Ovis aries: one gene and its partners. The protein of the gene in region 3 interacts with the protein of the main gene of each other region in a biochemical or structural test. Links are inferred from orthologs where the notes say so. Each region holds a gene or a part of one and is shown on either strand. Other genes may lie near its edges.

Region 1 (3,640 bases), on a different chromosome or scaffold from region 3:
GCACATTCATGTGACTTCATTTAATCCGCGAAGCTTGAGACCATTGTCCCTGGTGGAGACAAGGACCTCAGGCTCCGGGGGGACATGTCAACTGCTTTGGGTCACTCTGCTCACAAACAGCACTCATCCGACCACAGTATCTGTGGAGGGACCACCGCGTGCCAGCAGTGGGGTCCCGAGCCCCTGGCGCCTGAACTCGTGCCCCTTCTTCTGAGCCAGCAGCCTTGGCGGAGGAGCCGTGCCGGCCTCTGTCCTCATCCCCAGGGGGAGTGGAGATGACTCAGTTCCTGCTTTCCCCCAGACACAGGTCACCCCCCCGCCCCACACTCCACACATGGGGCCAGAAGGCAGGGTGGCCGCCGGCATTGTCTGCCCACACAAAGGACAACGGCTCCTTTCAGCCCCAGATGTGGCCCCGTGGCCTAGGCCACAGCTGTACCCGCTCCCCTCCCCTGGGCTGGGGCTACTTACCAAGCCGGTTGGCAGGATTCCGCTTGAACAGAGCCCGCAGGAGGCTCTGGGCTTCCGTGCTTAGAAACTGGGGCATGCCTAGCTTCGCCCTGCAATGGCCCCCGGGTCTCGTCAGGGTTGAGCTCCGCCCCGGAGGCCCCGTCTTACCTCCCGCCTCTGTCCACGTCTCATTTCCAGCTCAGTCCAGACAAGCCGTCCACTAACTTCCCTCCCAGAGACTCAGGATTCTCTACCCACAGGCCCCTGTGGGTGAACAGGGGGCCCTAGCAAAAGCGCGGCACTCAAACCAGCGGAGTGTCTCGCTCTTGGAGGATGTGAGGATAGGTGCGGGGTGTTAGTCTGGCCCCCAAACTAGGCCAAGAAGAGGAGACACCTGGAGGTGTCAGAGAGGCTGGAGCTTACTTCAGAATCAGAGTCATAGTCTCCTTCCGGTCCTTCCCCTGGAAGGGCAGGGAGCCCGTCAACATCTCAAACTGCAGGGAACAAGGATCCGTTCAGGCTCTGGTCCCGCCCCTCAGGCCCCCCACCTCCTCCCACCCGGGCCAGCCGCTCAGCCCCCCGCCCAGGAGGTCCACCTGGATCAAGAACTGTGTGTGTCCCTCCCCTCTCCATCAATCAGACCACCAGGAGCAGAACTAGGGGCCTGAGGCTGGGGAGAGGCCCAGTATGGGGCAGGGGGCACCCCAGGTGGGGCCAAGCCCGGAATCCTTCCAAGGAAGGAAACTGCAGCTCGGAGGAGTGTGAGGCCAGCTTAGCTATGAGAGGACAAGAGAAGAGCCTCAGAGACCAGCAGCCACCCTCCCCTGACCCTGTGCCCCACAGGTGGGGAAACTGAGCCCCAGTGCCTGGGCTGGATGCTGGGTGCTCTACCACTGCCTGGGCACTCACCATCAACACCCCATAGGACCACCAGTCTGCACTGTGGGAATGGCCCTGCCGGTTGACGACCTCGGGGGCCATGTACTCCACCGTCCCGCAGAAGGAATAGGCCTTCTTCTCATGGTCGATGGCTTCCTTGCTCAAACCGAAGTCTGTGGCAAGAAGCACAAGCGGACACACCTTCAGGACCCCCTGCCTTCCTCGCTGCCACCCCTGCACACCCATGCCCCCCTGCCCAGAGGCCTGAGGGCATCACCGCTATGGTACACAGGAGGAAGCCGAGGCCCAGGGGGGTGAGATGGTCTGCTCAGCATTACACAGTGGGGACCTGGGATTCAAACCCAGGTCATGCCAGGCCTGGACTTTTGACCACTTCTAAGTGCCTGGCACAGCCTCTCAGGATAAGCAGATACCCTAGCCCTCAGCCCAGGTCCATCTAGAGCCCATCCTGCCCTCCCCTGAAACCGGAGGGGCAGGTGCCCTCCACTCACCAGTGAGTTTGATGTGGCCTTCCTCATCCAGAAGGATGCTGCAATGGAGAGAGGGGGTCAGGGCCCCTCAGTCGTGGGCCTTTTGTGGGGTCAGGTGACGTCACAGGTCTGTAGGGGCTGGGCTCAGCCCAGGGAAGCTGGCCCACCAGGTCCGGCTGATGAACGGGTGGGTGGCGCAGGGACCGGCGGTGCCGCACAGGAGTGTTGCCTACCTTTCCGCTAATTCTTGAAACAACTGTGTGAGGTAGGTACTTACATGGCCCCATTTTAATGATGGGGAAGTTAAGGCCCAGGGAGGTTAAATAACTCCCCTAGTCAGAGAGTTAGGAGGTGGCAGAGATTAGATTTGAATTCAGGTCTGCCTGACTCTGTGCTTCCCCGGTGGCTCAGATGGTAAAGAATCTGCCTGCAATGCAGGAGACCCAAGTTCAATCCCTGGGTCAGGAATATCCCCTGGAAAAAGGACTGGCTACCTACTCCAATGATCTTGGCTGGAGCATTCCACGGACAGAAGAATCTGGTGGGCTACAGTCCAAGTGGTTGCAAAGAGTTGGACATAACTGAGTGACTTAACACTTTCACTTTTCACTTTCTGCCTGACTCTAAAGCCACATCTCACTCCACATAAGCACCTGCCCCTGGCTCCCAAGTTACCACTTGAGGATATTTAGATGTTAAGGAAAATTCTACAGAGGGTCATATCAAGGAAGGGCCTTTAACGGTGGCATCTCAGATGTCATACTGGATTAGCAAAAAAGATAGGCAATACCCAGGCACAGAGGTACCTGGTGCTTGGTGATGGCAGCCCTAGTGATGAGGCAGCCCCCCAGGCGAGCCTGCCACCACCACTCTGCTCCACCCACCCGTTCTGGGGGCAACCCAAGAGAGGGGGACTTTCTCAGGGGGAGTCCCCCCCAACCCCCTCAGACTGGCTGTGCTCTAGAAGAGGCTCCTGGGGCCTGCCTCTGCACACCCTAGGGAGCTGGGCAGAGCTGGGCCTTCACTCACTTCTCAGGCTTCAGGTCTCTGTAAATGATGCCTAGACTGTGCAGGTGGTCCAGGCCCAAAGCCAGCTCGGCCAGGTAAAACTTCACATCCTCCTCCGTGAACATAACCTGCAACAGGCGGGAGGGGGCTTCAGCCGGGATCACCCCTTTCTCAGGAGCTGGGGCACTGGGCAGTCAGCAGCTTCCCCGTCCTCCTAAGAGATTCCATACCCCTTCTCTTTATGAAGGGGTTTGAAGAATGAACTGACTAATATGCAAGTCGCTCACGGTAGCGTTGAAAGGCACATAGGGAAAGGCTGGAGACAGCTCAAGGGTCAAGCAGTAAACTGAACTGTCTCCTTCCCACATAACGGAGTGCTATGCCAGCCATGCGGGGTTCCCAGGTGGTTCAGTGATGAAGAATCCGCCTGCCAAGCAGGAGACATGGGTTCAGCATCTGGGTCGGGAAGATCCCCTGGAGGAGGGCATGGCAACCCACTCCAGTATTCTTGCCTAGAAATTCCCATGGACAGAGGACCATGGCAGGCTACAGTCCATGGGGTCGCAAAGAGTCAGACACGACTTGGCAACTAAACAACAATGCAACCATAAACTAGAACGAGGATCCCTCCATACGGTGGATGGCTACAGATCCATCGCCAAGATAGAGGCGCCAAGTCACTCCAAAACACCCTGCCATGAAGAAAGCAAAGTACAGTATATATAGAACAGTATCCTGCATGTAAGAAAGTAGGGGTCAGGATTCAGATCATACATTGAATTGGTTTGTATTTTTTTCCCAAAGAAACATGG
Region 2 (3,640 bases), on a different chromosome or scaffold from region 3:
GCTGAGGCTGGTGAGAGCAGGGGGAGGCGGCGGCGGAGAGAGCGCGACGCGCGGGGCTGAGGCGGCGCTGAGAGGAGCGGGGGCCGGCGCGGGGGCCGCGGGCCAGTTACATGTGTGTGGACTCGGGCGGGGCGGCGTGCGGCTGCTCCTCGGGGCCGTCGGCCAGCAGGAACGAGTCCACGGACTTGCCGCTGAGGCGGAAGGGCGCCAGGCGGTGGAAGTTGCCGGGGGAGTGGGGGATCTGCAGGCGGGCCCTCTGGGAGGGCACCACCGCCTCCCCGGGACACAGCCAGGGCGGCACCCCAGAGAGGATGCCGGGGCTCTCCTCCAGGGAAAACGCGGGGTTGTCAATTCCTAGGAGAGAGGGCGGCGGTCGTCAGCTTCCCTCGCTCCCCGGAAGGGCAGAGAGGGAGGCAGCGGCCCTGGGTCAGACAGCAGCTCGGCCTCGGCCACACGGAAGGTCACCTGGAAGGTCTCGGGCCTCTGGGGGTCGGGCCCTGCGCCGGCTCTCGCTCTCCTCTCTCAGAGCGGAGGCCTCTGCCCGTGCCCGCGCTTGCGCGGCCGCGTGAACCGCGCTCCACCGCCTGGGCCTCCCGCCAGGGATCGCCTGCGGGTAGCGCAGGGCCGTGCCCCCTCACCTGAGGGGGAGTCTGTCGCTGTGTCCTGCCCGATGTTTGCCAGGAACTCGATCCCGCCACTCATCTCATCATCATAGTTGGGGGCTTCCTCAGTGTCTGAGAGTTCCAAATCTGGTGACAGGGAAGGGACAGCGTAAGGGGACAGGCTGGAAGCGCAGATGACCTCGTCTGAGCCCTTGACCAACCGCCCCGGACCCGCTCACCGCCGCCCCCAACCCCCGCCGCGCCCAGGGTCCTCGTGTCTGCCGCCCCCACTTAGCGGCCTCTGGGCAGCTCAGTGGACCGTGGTGCCCACCTGGCCACACCAGGATAGGGCTGGGCAGAGAGGACCACACTCGGTCTTCTCGAGGAGGGGGGGTGGCAACTGGAGAAGGGGGCGGGCCACAGAGGAAGGGGATGGGAAGCCCAGGTCGCAGCCCTGCCCCCACAGTGGCTGCAGCCTGTGAGGAGGGCCCTGGTGCCCAGGGCACCGGCTTCCTGGAAAGACAGCCATCTGCACCCGGCTGCCCTCAGGTGCCCCTCAGCTCCTGCGGACCAGCGTCCAGCCATAGCCCAGCCTACCTTTCTCCTTGATGGTGAAGTCCTGCAGGGAGCTCACCATCGGCAGTTTCCCGTTGGGAATGCTGCTGTTTCTCTGAGGAGCAGAAGGAAACCGCTCACAGCTCTGGGTCCTGCCTGATCTGCTTGTCCACCCCAGGGAGGCCTCTGCCCTGCCACCAGGGTGCCCCCTCGGTGGTGCCTGCCCAAGTGTGCCCTCTCACCCGCTTCTGGGCGCGCTCCCTCTTGAGCAGCTTAGCGGCCTTCTTGTGGGGGTTGATCCCCAGCTTGGCGGACTTGAAGGACTCCAGGCGCTTCCGCATGGTCCTGTGGAAGATCTCGGTGTCCTGCTTCTCGTCCTCATCCGCGGTCAGCCCATGTCGGCTGTAGAGATGTTTGTACTGTGGCGGGGAGGCAGGGGGGTGGGGTGGGGATGGGAGGGGTGGTTAGGGTTAGCTGGTCGTGTCCGCAGGGCCTGGGCTGCGCCCCGCCCCCCCCCCCCAGGAGCGACCTGCACTAAGTAGGGCCATGCTTTGCCCTGGGGCAGGACGGGCAGGGCGCTGGCTCTGGAGGGCGCACCCACCTCCTGCCGGGGCTTGTACAGGTACTGCTGCAGCGTGTGGTGGGTGATCATGTCCTCCGCATCCCGGATGCTCTGCCGCCGCTGCTCCAGGGACTGCATGTCCAGGCGCACGGCACTCACGTTCTCCCTCCTGCGAGGGCCTTGGTGAGCAAGTGGGCACACCACCTGCCCTCCCGCCTGCACCCCTGGGGCCTGGGGTCATCCCGATGAGACCTTCTCTGCCTCCGGTTTAAGACTGACCCCGCAGTGCACCTGCCCCTCCAAAGCGCCAGCAGTGATACCCAGAACCGCCCTGCACTGACAGGGCAGAGGCTGGAGGCCTGGAATCTGTGACCAGCACCCTGTCTTTGGTGGTGGGGAGGGGGCGCTCCTTAAGCGGGCTGCTGGGCCCTGGCTCACTGCCGCACTCCAGCCAGCCGACTGACACGACAGGTGACAGACGCCACCGCCTCTGCCTGTTTCCCATGTGGGCAGCCCCAAGAGGCCCGCTGGTCATGCCTGTGGTTTGGTCGGGGAGCCTGGAGAGAGCTTGGCCCACAGCAGCTCTGGGGACCTACAGGAGGTAGGAGACAGAGGCCTCCACAGTGGAGGGGCGTGGGGTGCTGAAGTCCACGTTGACCATGTTGTCCGTGCTGGGAGAACGGATGAAAGCCAGGGACCCACGGCGCTCTCCCTGCGAGAGGAGGTGGCCTTGTCAGTCACTGGCCTGGCCCCAGGGAGCCCCACCCTGGGGTGCTGTGCACTGACCCCGAGGCACCTGGGAAAGCCAAGACCCCAGAAACCACGGTGGAGGCCCCGCTGGAGCTGGGAGGCTCACGGAGGCTTGTGCAAAGGACTTGGTGCCTCAGGGAGCGTGGGGAATCCCCACGGGATGGGGGAAGAGGCCCTGTCCCCACGGGGGCTCCAAACCAGCTGCCCTAGTTTTCCCCAGAAGAGAAACCCCAGCCTCCAGAGTCAGGCGAAAACCAGGCAGAGCAGAGTGCACAGGCATGGAGGTCACACTGCCGAGTGAGGTGCCCTAGGAGAGCAACTGGCCCTCCAGGGAGAGGGTGGAGCTGGGGAGGGCAGCCAGCTGAGGGCCAACCTGCTATGGCAAAGCTGGTGCTGTGGGCGTTGTTCACGGGCACAACCGCGGTGCAGAGGAGCCCACAGGCCTGCATCATAGGCACCAAGGTGGCAGGCGGCAGGGGGGAAGGGAGGCTGGTGCCCTGCTGGGAGCCTGTCACCAGTGGGAACTGGGGGCCATAGAGGGTCCCCAGGAGAGGATGCAGCCAGCAGGGGTCACCACCCACCTTCCCAGCCCCAGGGAGGCAGCGAGGCCTCAAAGGCTCACGGTCAGAGGGGCCGGGATTCCTGCTCTGAATTTCCTCAGCTGGTTGGAGGTGCAGAAGACAGGCCTTGCGCCCATGGCCTCGCCCCGGCTGGAGCCTGGAGCTTGTGCTCACTGGGGTCTGTGACCTCAGACCCAGCACCGCAGAGCGGGAGCTGTGGTGAACCCCACTTTCAGGGTGCCTGAGGGCCCTTGAGCTCAGGTGAACTGCGGCTGGGGCAACAAGAAGACTGTGTGTCGCTCACCAGCTGCCCCACCCCTGCCCGGGCCTCAGGGTGCAGACCCCAGCACTGTCCACACACGGGTCTGTCTCACCTCTTCCTGCCCTCCCCCGACACTCCTACAAAAGAGCAGATGAGACGGCCAGTACCTCGGCCACATAGCTGATGGCATCCTTCAAATTGAGCTCGTGGAAAACGTTCAGAATCCGATCTCGAGACTTCTGAGCTGACCTTCTCATGAGGATTTTGCTGAGGAATTTCCTATCAAAATTCGACCACCTGCGAGGACGGGTGGGTCAAACCAATAGTGGTCAGCACTTGGTGGGGTCTG
Region 3 (4,084 bases):
GGGTGACTGAGAAAGCTGAAGAGTGTGGGCTTGGAATCACACCCCCCACCCCTGAATCCTGTATGGGTCTCTTCCTTCTCCAGACCTGTTTCCTGTAAAATGGCCTGAGCCCTCAAGGGTTGTTCCGGGTAGCATGTACTCAGAGAGATGCACGAAGAATAAGCAGCTGTCCATCGGTTGGGAGAAGGGGGCATTCATTTTGGAGGAGGTGGAGGGAGGGGAGGGGAGGACGGGCTTGGGGGCAGGAGGGTCTAGCTGGCACCCAAGCCGTCAGTGCATTTCATCCCAGGTCGAGAGGAGGGGCAAAGACCCCTTCCTTCCAGCCAGACAAGTGCATTCATTCCCTCACCCTCTGCAGTCACCCACCGGGCGGGGGGTGGGCAGGGACAGGAGTGCGGGTCCTGCTAGAGGGAGGGGCTAGTAGGGGGAATGTTTACTGGTCCAGCACAGCACAGAGAGGCACAGACACTCCTGGAGAGGGCCATGAAGTCACTCAGCCTGGCCTCCAGGATATAGGGAGGGGCCGCTGCCTGGTCAGTTTCAATCCCCTCTTTTTGCCTCCAGGACCATCCAGGCACTTGGTGCTGGGTACAGGAGGGATCCTGATAGAGGAACGGGGCATGGGAGAGGGGAGGGGGCTTCCCGAGGAGGGTGGGCAGAGCCATGGCCCTGTGGCCCCTGGGTGGGGGTCCTTCAGCCTAAGGACCCTTTCTCAGCCCCTCCTCCCACCTCAGGGGCCTGCCTCCATTCCTGTGCTGTTCATTTAGTAGGCGCGTGGTACTAGTGGTAAAGAACCCACCTGCCAATGCAGCAGACGTGAGATACGGGTTCGATTCCTGGGTTGGGAAGATCCCCTGGAGAAGGAAATGGCAATTCACTCCAGTATTCTTGCCTAGGGAATCCCATGGACAGAGAAGCCTGGCGGACTACAGTCCACCGGGTCGCAAAGTCAGCACTCACCCAGTGTTACTGGGATAGGATGCTGCCCAGAATGGGGGCTAGATATAGGGGTCGTGGTGATTCGGGGGGTCCCCTGGCCCTGCAGTCTTCCTCCCGGCCTCCCTGGGCTGGCGTGGCCCGAGGCAGGGGAATGGCCAGGGTGGCTTGGACCCGGGGCGGGGGCGGCAGGGCGGAGGGGGCGGAGAAGGGGCGGGCGCGGGGGCGGTGCCGCAGCCAGAGCCCGAGCCCGAACCGGAGGCGACGGGAGCCGAGCCGAGCTGGAGCCTCCGAGGCCGCCACCGGGTCCTCAGCGACGCCGCCGCCTCCGCGCCGCCCCAGCGCCCCTGCCCGCCCTGCGACGGGCGTGAGCGCCGTGGCCAGCCCTTGGCCGGCCGGTGGGCAGCGGGCGCCATGGCCGCACCAGAGCCCCTGCGGCCGCGCCTGTGTCGCCTGGTGCGCGGCGAGCACGGCTACGGCTTCCACCTGCACGGGGAGAAGGGCCGCCGCGGGCAGTTCATCCGGCGCGTGGAGCCCGGTTCCCCCGCCGAGGCGGCCGCGCTGCGCGCCGGAGACCGGCTGGTCGAGGTCAACGGCGTCAACGTGGAGGGCGAGACGCACCACCAGGTGGGTGTCTGCGCTCCGCCACCGGCCCGCCGGCCCGCAGACCCGCCGCGCACCCCCACCCCGCAGCCCCAGCGCGCGTCCCTGCCCCGCGCGCCGGTGACCACCGGGCTCGGTGCTGCCTGCGCCCAGGCCTCCGTCCCTTCTCCGAGGCAGGAGGGGATCGCACAAGGGCCTCTGTGGGCTCCCGTGGAGAGGCGGGGGACGTGGCCCCCGAGGCCGCGGCGGCCGGCCTCCTTCCGCGCCTCCTCCACCCGGGTCGGTCCTGCACCGAGGGGGGTGGATCCTGGCAAGGGAGGGGCCCGCACTGCGGCTCCTGCGGGTCTCAGTCCTGGCTCTTCGCTCTTGGTCTTGTTCCGGCGCAGGGCAGTGTGTGGAGGAGCTGGCACCTCGGGGGTCTCCGTGAGCCTGGGACCCCGGTGCTTTTCACCCAGCGTGTATATATGTGCGTGTGTGAATGTGTGTGAACGCAGGGCCCTCGAGTGCACCTGCCGCGGATTTCACAGCGAGGGCACACCTGTGTGTGGGCGCATCAGTTGAGTGAGTGTGTGTGCTGGACTGTGTGCATATGATTATATAGGTTTGCACCCCTAGATGTGTGCGTGTGTGTGTCCAGGTCTGCCTTCCTGGAGGTGTGTGAACTGGGGGGTGTGTGTGTGTGTATCCTCCTGTGTGTGGCTGCGTGTATACGTGTCCCAGCTGTGTGTCTGCCGGCCGGGCTGTGTGTATTCTTCTGTGTGTGTCTGCAGCCTGGTGTACTAGTGTGTGTTCTGGCCCAGGGTGTCTGGATCCTGGTGGGAGTTGCCGCTGGTGGCAACACATTCCTGTCCTCAGAGGCTGCTGGGCGGCCTGGCTGGGATCGCAGGTCGCAGCCCCTGCCTCTTGCAGCGGAAGATAAAGGCCAGAAGGAGGTTCTCTGCAGGTTCTAACCCCCAGGGGGTGTCCAGTGACTCACATGGCTCAAGACCAGTCTTCTTCACCCCTTCTACTTAGGGTCCTCTGTGTCCCTCACCCCACCTTTTGCAGGACCAGCCCTGGGCCTTGAGAGTCATAAACTGGCTCCTGGTTGGGCTGGGGGCTGCCCTTTGCTTATATCCTTGGAGGTTTTGTGTTTCCCCTTGTCAGCTGTCTTTCTGTCGTCTACTCAGAGTGTCAGCTGGATGGACTGTTTGCTGAAGGAGGGTGAGGGTCAGGGCTGAGAGCTTGGATGGACAGGCCATGGGGAGGGCCTGGCCTCTGTTTAATCATTGTCGCCACCTTTGCCCCAAGAGTGAAGCTTGCTTGTCCCAGGCCTCCTGGGGTGCTGGTCTCTAGGAACCTCAGACACAGGACCCTGTGAGACCTTCCTACTGTCTGGGCAGGGAGAAGGTACAGTTCCAGTTCCCATTTTACAGATGAGAAAACTGATCCTTGGAGATACTGGGTGACTCGTCTGTGTCCCACAGTCAGGAAGCATCGGGGTCCAGGGTTCCTGTGACTCTGGGAGTGATGGGGAGAGACAGGTGTAGAGGAGGGCTGGGGCAAAGATGGGCCCGGTTCAGACCCTCCTCTTTTGATAGCATCTACTGGGCCCCACCGGTCCTTCCCGAGGCCTTGGGGAGGGGTTGGGTGTTGCCCTCCCTAAACCAATGCCCAGTGGGCACTGCCCTCCTGCAGGCACACACTGGCAGGTATGGTCTTGCACGTGCTCTAGACACGTCACAGACACTGCGTAACGACACCTACCCCTGCCCACCTCTGCCTACGGCCTCTGAATCCCGCTTTCTGGGTTGTGGGTGTGCACCTGAGTAGGCGCCTTGCCACAGGACCGCAGGTGGTCTCCCCGCTGCTCTAGCAGGAATAAGTTCAAGGTCGTGGTCTGGAAGAGAACAGAAGGCCTAGAGGCAGAAGTTTAGACCGTGTTCCACTCCTGGAAAGACAGAGATAGGCACAGAGACCCCGAGCCTGGGACCCAGGGAGTCACTTCTCCCCTTCAAACCCAGACCTAGAGACACCTTGAACTAGAAGGCTGCAGGCTGCAGGCCATACACAGGCACATACCCGCAGACTGAAAACCTGAAGCCCAGCCGAACACGGTCATTGTCACTTCCCAGGCCCTTGCAGCCTGGGCCCTGGTGCCTGCAGCCCCGGGAGAAAAGGGAGGCAGCTGCTGGAGCCGGGGGTGGGGGGTGGGGCCAGCGGGCCTCTCAGTCCAGCCGCCCACCGCTGCCTGGGCTCGTGGCCTGCCTGCCGCCCTGGGCCAGCCCGGGGTGGGGCCGCTGCCCTGTGCTGCCTGGAGTGCCGGCTGTGACTCGGTCCCACACTCGCCTACCCCAGGTGGTGCAGAGGATCAAGGCCGTGGAGGGGCAGACGCGCCTGCTGGTGGTGGACAAGGAGACAGACGAGGAGCTCCGCCGGCGGCAGCTGACCTGCACCGAGGAGATGGCCCGGCGAGGGCTGCCGCCAGCCCATGACCCCTGGGAGCCGAAGCCAGACTGGGCACGAGCGGGCAGCCTCAGCTCCGAGGCCACCCAGGAGGTACAGT

Evidence for each region.
Region 1: the proteins of NHERF2 (region 3) and RPS6KA1 interact in a test that uses a peptide from one of them, tested with the Homo sapiens proteins (2 studies listed by BioGRID and IntAct). The link is inferred for Ovis aries from reciprocal best matches to the Homo sapiens genes NHERF2 and RPS6KA1.
Region 2: the proteins of NHERF2 (region 3) and SLC9A3 form a complex in vitro, tested with the Homo sapiens proteins (2 studies listed by BioGRID and IntAct, with this or other methods). The link is inferred for Ovis aries from reciprocal best matches to the Homo sapiens genes NHERF2 and SLC9A3.

The regions. Positions count from the first base shown.
Region 1 is NC_056055.1:240,316,125-240,319,764, forward strand, and holds part of RPS6KA1 (ribosomal protein S6 kinase alpha-1), read right to left. Parts: intron 2,957-3,640; coding exon 2,850-2,956; intron 1,880-2,849; coding exon 1,842-1,879; intron 1,503-1,841; coding exon 1,360-1,502; intron 945-1,359; coding exon 874-944; intron 561-873; coding exon 472-560; intron 1-471. UniProt on the Homo sapiens protein: Serine/threonine-protein kinase that acts downstream of ERK (MAPK1/ERK2 and MAPK3/ERK1) signaling and mediates mitogenic and stress-induced activation of the transcription factors CREB1, ETV1/ER81 and NR4A1/NUR77, regulates translation through RPS6 and EIF4B phosphorylation, and mediates cellular proliferation, survival, and differentiation by modulating mTOR signaling and repressing pro-apoptotic function of BAD and DAPK1.
Region 2 is NC_056069.1:71,683,331-71,686,970, reverse strand, and holds part of SLC9A3 (sodium/hydrogen exchanger 3), read right to left. Parts: intron 3,589-3,640; coding exon 3,459-3,588; intron 2,432-3,458; coding exon 2,316-2,431; intron 1,889-2,315; coding exon 1,759-1,888; intron 1,577-1,758; coding exon 1,400-1,576; intron 1,273-1,399; coding exon 1,200-1,272; intron 750-1,199; coding exon 639-749; intron 355-638; coding exon 111-354; coding exon of another isoform or gene 107-110; intron 1-106. UniProt on the Homo sapiens protein: Plasma membrane Na(+)/H(+) antiporter. Exchanges intracellular H(+) ions for extracellular Na(+) in 1:1 stoichiometry, playing a key role in salt and fluid absorption and pH homeostasis.
Region 3 is NC_056077.1:2,098,184-2,102,267, forward strand, and holds the start of NHERF2 (Na(+)/H(+) exchange regulatory cofactor NHE-RF2), read left to right. Parts: upstream 1-1,209; 5' UTR 1,210-1,350; coding exon 1,351-1,563; intron 1,564-3,876; coding exon 3,877-4,077; intron 4,078-4,084.